3 linked regions of the Tribolium castaneum genome follow. The protein of the gene in region 1 binds, or shares a complex with, the protein of each later gene. Links are inferred from orthologs where the notes say so. Each region holds a gene or a part of one and is shown in the gene's direction. Other genes may lie near its edges.

Region 1 (4,089 bases):
AAAGCTTCAAGAATTGTGGAGGAATGCCTGCAAAATTGAGGATCCTGTAAGTTCAAAATTTTGGCGTTTTCGCTATTTAGGGTATTTCAGAATTTACTTTTAAGTTTCTTATTTGCGCTCGAGTGTGTCAGTGCACTGCATGTACCTCCTCGTGGTCGTAGCGTGGGCAACTGTTTGCTGACAGACAAGGTAAAAGTCATTGCAAAGCAGACCTTATTTTGTTTTAAGTCTCGAGCAGACAGGCAAAACATGCCAACACTGACTGATTTAATTTTTTTATAATTTTTGTATAATTAAGAAATAATACAATACTTTAATTTTTTGAAAAATTTAATTTGTTATGTTACTCAAGTGTACAATAAAAATGTTAACAAAATCTGTGTTTTATTACCCCAAAACAACTTTTTTTGTAAGTTTCATTTCAAATTTTGTTTAAAATAAATATAAAACGTTTTCATTTTGTTTAAAATGAAAATATATTTTTTTATTTTAAACAATTTGCAATGAAACTTGTAAGATAAAAATAATAAAAAACAATATAAAAGGAATTTATTCAAACGTGGCACTTTACCGTGGTAGTAACGCACTTCAGCACCAGAGGCGCTGGATTCTCGTGTTGCCAGTGATTTACTAGGGAATTATCACTTCTTAACCCTTTCTGTTCTGTGCTACCTGTCAATTCCTAAAACGTCTACAAACATCACGCTCTGCACAAGCGCGGCGCTAAATTTAAATAACACGATATTTTTTAATGAAATAAATTTTCAGATAGACCCAAATCGTTTTGAAACCAGAATTTTCCTGAAATATTTAAATTAAAAACCTCTATATCATTAGTTAGTTACATAATTAATAAGCAAATAATTTTTTTCATTTTAATCTAAAGACGCAAGTACTAATTAAATTCACAATCACAACCTCGTAGCAAGTTTACAAACACGTATTTAATTAAATAAATAAAAAATAGTTGCAATTTTTTAAATAGCGCCTCAAGGCCGTCGTAGTTCCAATGTGACAACACAGAGATAAGTAATCCTAACACAACATTATCTTATATAGAAAAAAAGGGAAACTTAGTGATATTATCGTTGCAATGTTAAAAACATTATCAAGCATTTTATTCCACAATTATTACTAATTAGTGAATTTTTTGTAGGTTTAATTGAATATATGTATTAGGTCGTGTGTTTCAAAAAGTAGTCTATTTGCACGGCTAACGTCAAGCACAGGCAAACAAAAATAAGTGTATTTTAAATTACGTGCATGTTATTTTGATAAAAAATTACCATTTCCATAATTAGTAGTTTATTGTAAAGTACAATACATAAAAGTTACCCCCGCAGTGCGACTTGTGCCCTTTTCCCTGGCAGTGCATCAAACAGTCAAATCAATGTTTTTTGATTTAATTGAAATAAACATTTCCACTAGAACCGTGTGTAGAATAGTCAGTGATTACTAAAGTGTATACTTTTGCTCTATTTTGGGCGTTTCAGGTACTCGTCACTTTAGTGTTGCTTTGCTGGTACCACGTTGTGCTTGTAGACAGGCACTTCAGGAACCCATATTTCTGCGGTGAATTTTAATTGCACTATTAAAATGCCCTTTAGTGCAGACGCAATCGCAGCGCAAAAAGTTCAGGAGCACTTGAAGTCGCTCTATCACACGGTTCATGAGATTGAGAAGAAACGCCAACAGAGTGAACAAGGAATAAACAACATTGTTAAGTTTCAAAATGGGCAAGACGAGAAGTCCAGCCAACATTATCAGGTGTGGATTTTCTGGCATTCGCAAAATATTTTGAGGCATTTTCCGAAAAAATAACAGTAATTTGGGGCCAACATTTTTATGTGTGTATCAGTGTGATTTGTTTTCTTCTTTGTGTCAACGACATTTGGTCCCTTTACCTCGGTCTTGTTCTCAGCGGCAATCGTTACCTAATAATTATGCTACAAATAAAAGTACTGATTTCACTGCAACTTACAGTTAAAATTGTTAAAACGTAAATAATTACAATGGCTTTTAAGATCTTTGATGACATTTTTCTGATCTTTGGCGGCTTACGGTGCCCTGGAAACGCTAAATTAAAAAAAATCGCCTTTGAACCACCTTTTAAAGCTCAATTGTGTTTCAAGTAAATATTTTTGTTTACGTGAATTTAAAGAATTCCATTGTTTCGATTCAATAAGAGTTTATATGATTACTGTAATGATTATATATTGTAGATGAAGCTAAAGAGCCTCTACAAGTCCTCAATTTCGCACGCCGAGCAAGAGGAGGATTTGCTCCGTCAAGCTCTTCAAAAAATTGCGGAAATCCGCAACATTAAGAACGAACGGAGAATTCAAACGAGACATGCTGGAAACAAAGAATCGATTCGTAGGGGCACTTGGATGAAGATGTTAATGAGTTCGGCACAAACATTGCCCCTTTTCGTCGGTAAAATAGACGAAAAACCTCCTGCTCTCTGTGGTGCCACACCTGCTGACTCTGGCTATGTGGCAAAAGTGGGCGATATGGTGGCTGCTTTGGTTAAAATTCCTGATGGAGATGGCGAAAACTGGATATTGGCTGAAGTGTACAGTTATAATCACGCCTCAAATAAGTACGAAGTTGATGATATTTTGGCGGAGCAGAATCAGAAACGGCGACATACTTTGAGCAAGAGAAATGTGGTACCGTTACCCCTAATGCGGGCTAATCCCGAGACTGATCCAACGGCCTTGTTTCCACAAGGAACTGTCGGTAAGTGGAGTTACAACGAACTTCCTCCTGTTTCAAGCACCGATTATGGCAAAACTCTTCGGAAAATTGAAACTATTTTAAAGTTGTCTTTGTAAAATGCTCTGGGAAATCGCTTGGCGTCAAGAAAATGACCAGATTCTTAATAATTTTTAAGATATATTTTTTACACTGTTTGCGATTTTTTTTAAAACTGTTAATCGCAGAACAATGGTCTTTTTTGTAAAAAGAAACAGATTATTAAGAGCTATCCAACGATTATACACTTATTAGGGTTTCGGCTAGTATTTCTGGAATTATTGCCCGATGAATGTCACAAACGTGTTGAAACATTCGGTGGTATGTTAGCACAAAAAAAATCTATGTAAATTTTTTACATTTTTATAATTATTTTATGGGATGTCTCGTGGTTTTTTTGTGTCTGTTTTTGCTAATAATTTTTACTCAGTGTAGTAGATTCCTCAGAGATCATATTTGTTTAAAATTTTTATTAGTAAAGTTTAAAATTGCTCGCCAAATTTAAATTTATTCGCCATCGCCGACGAAAATTCAGAAACCACAAATATTCGGATAATGCAAGTTGAGTTCTTTTGAGCTCTACTCACATTCCTTAAAATATTTGCACAACTATCAAATTATTACTTTTTCGCAAAGGATTAATGTTTTTTTACAATTCTTTCTTATTTCGTCTTATTTGACAAATGATATAAAGCAAAAATAACAGCTAAAAAGACACTCTTTGTTAATTTATCTCTTCTAATGACCTCGGATATAACGAACGGATTTTGACACATTTTCTGAGTTCGTTATAACCGGACACCACGTAAATTAAAATGTTGGTTTTGCGTTTCAGTTATGGCTCTATACCCAACTACGAGTTGCTTCTATAAAGGCATTGTGAACAAGCCTCCCGCAACACATACTGATGAATATGAGATTTTGTTTGAAGACGCTGCGTATCCTGAAGGCTACAGCCCGCCCCTGTATGTGGCCCAACGCTACGTCATTGCCATAAAACAGAAGACAAAGCAAGCCTGACATTATCTTTCAGACACTATGTCTGATTCTGAAGCTTCAAGTTTTATGGAATAATTTATTGGGTAGTAAACATTCGAGAAACTTTCATTTTGTGTTATATTTCACCAATTTATTATTCATCTTTACATGTACATGAATTTTTTTTACATTTTTGTTATTTTCTAATCTAACTTTTAAAAAAATGGAACTCCTGAAAAAAACAGGCTGAAGGTACCTGTAATGTTGCAACATTAAAAATTATAAAATAAAAACGAAACTGTTCAGACCGTAACAAAACTATTCTCATAACCGTTACAACTACCAATTTCTCAC
Region 2 (2,810 bases), on another chromosome or scaffold:
CAATTTTTAACATTGTTCCGACAACTAAAAGGCCATAATTTTATTTTTAAAAAACGTCTTTTTTATTGTTGAATTGGTGGTCAAAAGGGCATTATGTGACAAAACCGATTTCGGGGTGAAATGGGGCGAAAACTGCAATAATGCATTTGCGGAGCTGGAAAACATAACAATTTTTAACATTGTTCCGACAACTAAAAGGCCATAATTTTATTTTTAAAAAACGTCTTTTTTATTGTTGAATTGGTGGTCAAAAGGGCATTATGTGACAAAACCGATTTCGGGGTGAAATGGGGCGAAAACTGCAATAGTGCATTTGCGGAGCTGGAAAACATAACAATTTTTAACATTGTTCCGACAACTAAAAGGCCATAATTTTATTTTTAAAAAACGTCTTTTTTATTGTTGAATTGGTGGTCAAAAGGGCATTGTGTGACAAAACCGATTTCGGGGTGAAATGGGGCGAAAACTGCAATAGTGCATTTGCGGAGCTGGAAAACATAACAATTTTTAACATTGTTCCGACAACTAAAAGGCCATAATTTTATTTTTAAAAAACGTCTTTTTTATTGTTGAATTGGTGGTCAAAAGGGCATTGTGTGACAAAACCGATTTCGGGGTGAAATGGGGCGAAAACTGCAATAATGCATTTGCGGAGCTGGAAAACATAACAATTTTTAACATTGTTCCGACAACTAAAAGGCCATAATTTTATTTTTAAAAAACGTCTTTTTTATTGTTGAATTGGTGGTCAAAAGGGCATTATGTGACAAAACCGATTTCGGGGTGAAATGGGGCGAAAACTGCAATAATGCATTTGCGGAGCTGGAAAACATAACAATTTTTAACATTGTTCCGACAACTAAAAGGCCATAATTTTATTTTTAAAAAACGTCTTTTTTATTGTTGAATTGGTGGTCAAAAGGGCATTATGTGACAAAACCGATTTCGGGGTGAAATGGGGCGAAAACTGCAATAGTGCATTTGCGGAGCTGGAAAACATAACAATTTTTAACATTGTTCCGACAACTAAAAGGCCATAATTTTATTTTTAAAAAACGTCTTTTTTATTGTTGAATTGGTGGTCAAAAGGGCATTGTGTGACAAAACCGATTTCGGGGTGAAATGGGGCGAAAACTGCAACAGTGCATTTGCGGAGCTGGGCAACATAACAATTTTTAACATTGTTCCGACAACTAAAAGGCCATAATTTTATTTTTAAAAAACGTCTTTTTTATTGTTGAATTAGTGGTCAAAAGGGCATTGTGTGACAAAACCGATTTCGGGGTGAAATGGGGCGAAAACTACAATAATGCATTTGCGGAGCCATAAATATTGAAATTAGGTGAAAAAGTGGGAAAAATTAAAAAGCAATTTGTGGTAAATAATTGAGTTTTTCGCTATTAGCATAGTGACTTTCTTAAAATGTCATTTTTAAGAGGGTGTTTAGTGTTTTTTCGGATTTTTATTTTATTAAACGGTTTCAAAGCTGACAACCAAACATACATCTAAGCAAACTGAAACTTATTTTGCTAGTCTGAAACTGGCTTCATGTTCGGGTCTCTTCGGAAATTCGAGGAGCTGGTTTTGGGAGCTGTCTTCACACAAATGACGATCTGTCATTTCGCGGACTCTAACAGCATTATCCTTGACATGTCAAATTGTTCCAGCTGTCCCTATTTGAGGTTAAATATCTCTTTTTTGTTGATAAATATAACAATTTACAATGTCTAATCAAAATAATGCTGGTGGTTTAACAAATACCGAAGACGATGAGCTGACTTTGCCTCGGGCTAGCATTAACAAAATGATAAAGGAGTTAGTCCCATCAGTTCGAGTTGCAAATGAAGCAAGGGAATTAATCCTCAACTGTTGTACGGAATTTATCCATTTGCTTAGTTCTGAAGCGAACGAAATATGTAATCGATTGGACAAAAAGACTATAAATGCGGAACACGTTTTGATGGGTATGTTTCATCATTGTTAAACAACACAAAAGTAAAGTTTTTCGCAGCTTTAGAAAAGTTGGGTTTTGGAGATTATCAAACCGAAGCTGAAGCTGTTCTTAAGGACTGTAAGGCTGTTGCAGCGAAACGCAGGCGACAGAGCACAAGGTTAGAAAATTTGGGAATACCAGAAGAGGAGTTGTTGAGACAACAGCAGGAGTTGTTCGCCAAGGCTAGGCAAGAGCAGGCTTTTGTGGAGCAACAGCAATGGGAGCAACTACAAGCTGCGGCACAAGCCCAAGCTTCGGCTCTACCAAACAATGATGATGATTACGAATGATTTATTAAACGCTTTAAATATTTTGTTATTGTTTTCATTTATTTTTTAATATCTTAGATTTAGGCTTTGTATCAACCACAAACATTCAATAAATAGTGACCCAACGTTTTTTACAAGAAAATTATTCATCTGCAATCTTATGCGTACGAAGTCTAAACAGGATAAAATAACCAATTTCCTAACGCTGAAAAACACTCATTATTACAGTCTTGGTAATGTAGTCCCTGTAAATAATTAAGTAATAAAAATAATTATTAAATAAATGGAAAAAAAACCTTTAAAACTAAGCGCCAACTAAGTGCCAACGTAACATGTTTGCCATGTTTTGATCTTGGCAACACTTTTTTCATTGAAATATCCCCAAGATAATGTCATTTTCTAATAGAAAAAAAGTTATTTAATTTCCATTTAGCACGTAACCGCAGAACAATTTTTATATTTAATACAAAAATAGTTTTTTTGATAAGCAAACTAGAGATACAAAAAGGCGCAAAGCTGCCGTACATTGAGGTTATGTGAATGAACTC
Region 3 (3,833 bases), on another chromosome or scaffold:
CCAAACCGTCACGTTTAAAACTTTATGGGATCGTTGGATTGGTGCATGTCTCCAACACCCAAACTTAATCCAAATTCTGGTCTTGGGCGGCTTTGACGATAATCAAGCCGTGCCTTGGTTGCGTTTTATTGCACTTTGTGCCGCACATTTGACCGATAGTCTCACTCAAACAATGATTTTGATTTGTGAGATATTGACCGAAGAGCCTGAAGGTGGCTCTGCAATGATTCCTCTATCGACTTTTCTCGATTTGTATGAGTTTTTAGCACGAATTGATGCTTCGTTGCCACAAACTTTGAAAAATTACTATTTTTTGGATAAGTTTCTCGAATTGTTTCGCGAGAAAATTGCCAAAGATTCAGGGGAAAAACCGGTGGAAGAGGAACTCGAAACGGATTTTATGAGCGAGATTGTGTCCGAAGTGACGGAAAAAAGTGAAAGGGAGACGAAAAAAGACGATGAGGGTTCGGTTGTTTCGTGTCCAAGTGTCACAAGTCAGGATCCGGACAACTACATGAAATTGTTGATGAAAATACGAGCCGAAGGCGAATTTGAAGAAAGCAACGAAGAAATAAAGGAAGAAACAGAAGAAAAGACGGAACCTGTTGATGAAGAAGTGAAAGAAGAAGAAGTTGAAGAACGTAAAGAATCGGTCGCTGTTTCCGAAAAAAAATTTCCGGAACAGTTGGCTGAAGACGAAAAAATTCCGCAATTTCCGGTTGAAGATGACCTTGTTTCGAAAAGTACGCGAATGTCATCAGCACCGAGTGAATCATTGAAGAAAGATGAAGAGGATTTGAAACAAGACACTTATCTTATGGAAGATTTGGCAAGACTTCGGGTAATTCACCGACTAGTCTACTAGGTTTTTCCCCGAAATAAATTCGGGTTTAGTCATTACAGGAAGCCATGATGGGTGAAAGTGACGACGAAGTTGAGAAATTCAAAGCTAGTATTTTAGCTGAAGCTGGTTTAACTCAATCACAAATTGATGCACCTGAACATTTTGAAACACGAATTGAGAGTGAAATTTTCACTAATGAGTCACTTAAAAGTTACGAAACGTCGACAAGTGAACCGTCCGTCAAGGAAAAAGCGCCAGAAGTAGAAAAAAAAAGTGGGAAATTTTTTTTTATAATTGTTTTAGATTGAGTATGAGGATGTGTTCGTGGATCCAGTTCCAGGAATCGGGCCGAAAGTCCCCGAAAATTTAATTTTGGCCGTTTGTAATTACATGAAAGATGTGGCCAAGTGGCAACATGACATGGTTATGCCGAGGAATATACGGCATTTTGATCGCCCGCCTTTAGAAATTCGAAATCAATAAAAATTTTGCACCGTTTTTTTTTTGATACATGGTACTGCCCAAATCTTAATCATATTTAATCACGTTTCAGTGCGTCCAGTAATCAATTAATAATTATTTGTGCCTCCAGGTGTATCTACTTGATTAGTAAATAAAGCCCTACGTTTCGGAAACACGTATTAAATTTTCCCCCTTTATGTTCGATTTAGTTTACAGTTTCCTGTAATTCAAGTGTCAATTTTTATGTATCGATTGTCAACAAACAACAAAATTGTGTGAAATTGGCTAAAATAACATTGATGATTAACATTTTGCATGTTCTTTGTGCCTAAAGCGTGATATGAACAACCCCAAACGCCACCTCATGTCAAAAAACGCCCCCCGAGGGGGCAAAGCGAAAGACGCCCCCTCGTCCTCCCGTCACGACTCCATCCCTCCTGACACCGAAAACTTCATAAACACCGTCCCTTTGATCCGTCAATGCGACAACACGAAGCTTTTGCCCCGTTTTTCATCCAGTAATCAACCCTAACCTAACGTTTTGCCCCTTTTGATTAATGAGCAAGTTTTTAGTTTTGGGGCGCACCGAAGACGATGGAGTGAACATGGACGACCTTGATCAACTTCAACTCGACCTTGAGAAGTTAATTTCGACGTGTGCTGTGCGTAACCGGTTTTTAAGGGGCGAAATCGAATCGATTGATCGAGTTGAGGAAAAAAGAGACAAAAAGGGCAAATCGTATGATAAAGGGGGGCTCAAACGGAAACGGCCCGATGATAAGGCCAAGTATCGTGATTTGAAAGGGGGCGCACGCCCCCTGAAACGTCATTATCCACTTCCGGTGGATGTGCCCTTGAGGCATGAAATGCCCAAAATTAATTTACCCAAGAATGATACTTCGGATAAGTTTTGGGCGACTGTGGAGCCCTATTGCGCCCCCGTTACGAATTCACACGCTACGGTTGATTGATTTTTTCAATTTTATAATTATGTATTAACAAAAAAAATTTTAGTTCCTCGATAAATTAATCGAGGAATGTTCGCAAGAAATTGATGTAAAAATACCCGATTTGGGCGAATATTACGCCAATGAGTGGTCAGATAATGCAACCGGAGTGGAACAAGAATTGGGGCTAACCTCTAAAACAGTTGGCCTTGATTTGAAAAAGAACGGTTTGAGTGCGTAAGTATTTTTTATCAAGTCATAAAGTTCAAAAAAATTTACAATCAATCAATAGAATGGTTGATTCATTTTCAAACCCGAAAACTCAACGCCTATTGGCCGCCTTGATTGAGGAGAAAGTGATGACGTCATTTCCGGGTGTTACTGGGAAACTCAAACGTAATAAAATCACATTTGTCGTAACTTCAAACTCATTTAATTCACTTTTAAAGCGTCCGATTTGAATATAATCAAGTCAGCTGGTGGTCCACGTGCTGCCATATGTATGGATCGCCGCCTTAAGAAAGATTTAGTCGAACAAGGATTATTAAGTGTTGAGGATTTATCTAAAACAATGCCCGACGATGAGATTTTACAAGAAATAAAAAAATGTCAACAAGAATTGACAGCTGTCAATGAGTATAATGTTGAGGAATTGAAACGTTTGAAAGCTATAGTTGTCAAAGATTTGAAACGGCAAGAAATCAAAGCAGCTCTGGATGTAGTAGATGGCGAAGTTTGTTGATTGGTGTTACCATGGTAACAAAATTAAAACACCTAAAATTTCAGGTTTTGGAAGTTTATAATAAGGTGTTAATGACCAAACAGAAGCAAATCCAGCAGGCCAAGGATGAAGATTTCGATAAAGCCGCCTTTACAAAAAGTTTGAAAGAATTTGAAGTGAAGACACATGTCTTGTTGGAAACGCAGTTTAAGTTTCAGAAAGCTTTGGCGGAATTGCAGGAATAAAAAAAACACCAGTTTTAAGTCTTACATTATTATTATTATTATTTTTGACACATTAATTTACAAATTAGTCTGGTATTTGGTGTTTAGAGTTGTTTTCTTTTTCCTCAATTGTCTAATTAACACTCCTAATTAAATAATTGAAAAACACCGATAAATCAATTTGTACTTGGGAGAGATATTCATCAAAAAATGCTTTTTTCGTTTCGTTTGGTTGGTAAAAAATCACTCTTTTGAATATTCAAATTGGCACCACTGGTGGTATATGAAACGAATGAGTCAATAGTGCCAACCTGACAATCACAATTGTGCGATGAGATGAACTTAACCTATAAAAAAAGTATATTGCGAACATGAATACTACCAACGGCTAAAATTGATTTTCCCTAAATATTTATATAAAAAACAAATCGTAATAAATATGACGCAACAGAACAACAACAAAAAAAATATATCGCTTAATCCTACAAAATTATCACATTTACATTCTATACAAATGATTATCATCATGGATTTTTTTGTCCTGAAATTTTGATTACTATTACATTGTGTCAACATACAAATTCAATACGCGATGTATCAACTCGTATTGTTCGGCTGTTTGTACCATGCCGCCT

The links.
Region 2: Sgf29 (region 1) and NC2beta share a complex: the UniProt entries of both Homo sapiens proteins name them as parts of the ADA2A-containing complex. The link is inferred for Tribolium castaneum from reciprocal best matches to the Homo sapiens genes SGF29 and DR1.
Region 3: Sgf29 (region 1) and Ada3 share a complex: the UniProt entries of both Homo sapiens proteins name them as parts of the ADA2A-containing complex. The link is inferred for Tribolium castaneum from reciprocal best matches to the Homo sapiens genes SGF29 and TADA3.

What each region holds. Positions count from the first base shown.
Region 1 is NC_087396.1:14,033,126-14,037,214, reverse strand, and holds Sgf29 (SAGA-associated factor 29), read left to right. Parts: upstream 1-1,166; 5' UTR 1,167-1,444; intron 1,445-1,493; 5' UTR 1,494-1,596; coding exon 1,597-1,767; intron 1,768-2,222; coding exon 2,223-2,742; intron 2,743-3,592; coding exon 3,593-3,777; 3' UTR 3,778-3,864; downstream 3,865-4,089. UniProt on the Homo sapiens protein: Chromatin reader component of some histone acetyltransferase (HAT) SAGA-type complexes like the TFTC-HAT, ATAC or STAGA complexes.
Region 2 is NC_087398.1:1,910,303-1,913,112, reverse strand, and holds NC2beta (protein Dr1), read left to right. Parts: upstream 1-1,604; 5' UTR 1,605-1,723; coding exon 1,724-1,964; intron 1,965-2,011; coding exon 2,012-2,283; 3' UTR 2,284-2,306; downstream 2,307-2,810. UniProt on the Homo sapiens protein: The association of the DR1/DRAP1 heterodimer with TBP results in a functional repression of both activated and basal transcription of class II genes.
Region 3 is NC_087401.1:17,517,089-17,520,921, forward strand, and holds Ada3 (transcriptional adapter 3), read left to right. Parts: upstream 1-1,492; 5' UTR 1,493-1,646; coding exon 1,647-1,824; intron 1,825-1,879; coding exon 1,880-2,268; intron 2,269-2,320; coding exon 2,321-2,490; intron 2,491-2,545; coding exon 2,546-2,649; intron 2,650-2,702; coding exon 2,703-2,986; intron 2,987-3,039; coding exon 3,040-3,219; 3' UTR 3,220-3,294; downstream 3,295-3,833. Other genes in the region: uncharacterized protein LOC103313297, read left to right, coding at 1-841, 895-1,104, 1,148-1,327; uncharacterized protein LOC656520, read right to left, coding at 3,758-3,833. UniProt on the Homo sapiens protein: Functions as a component of the PCAF complex. The PCAF complex is capable of efficiently acetylating histones in a nucleosomal context. The PCAF complex could be considered as the human version of the yeast SAGA complex.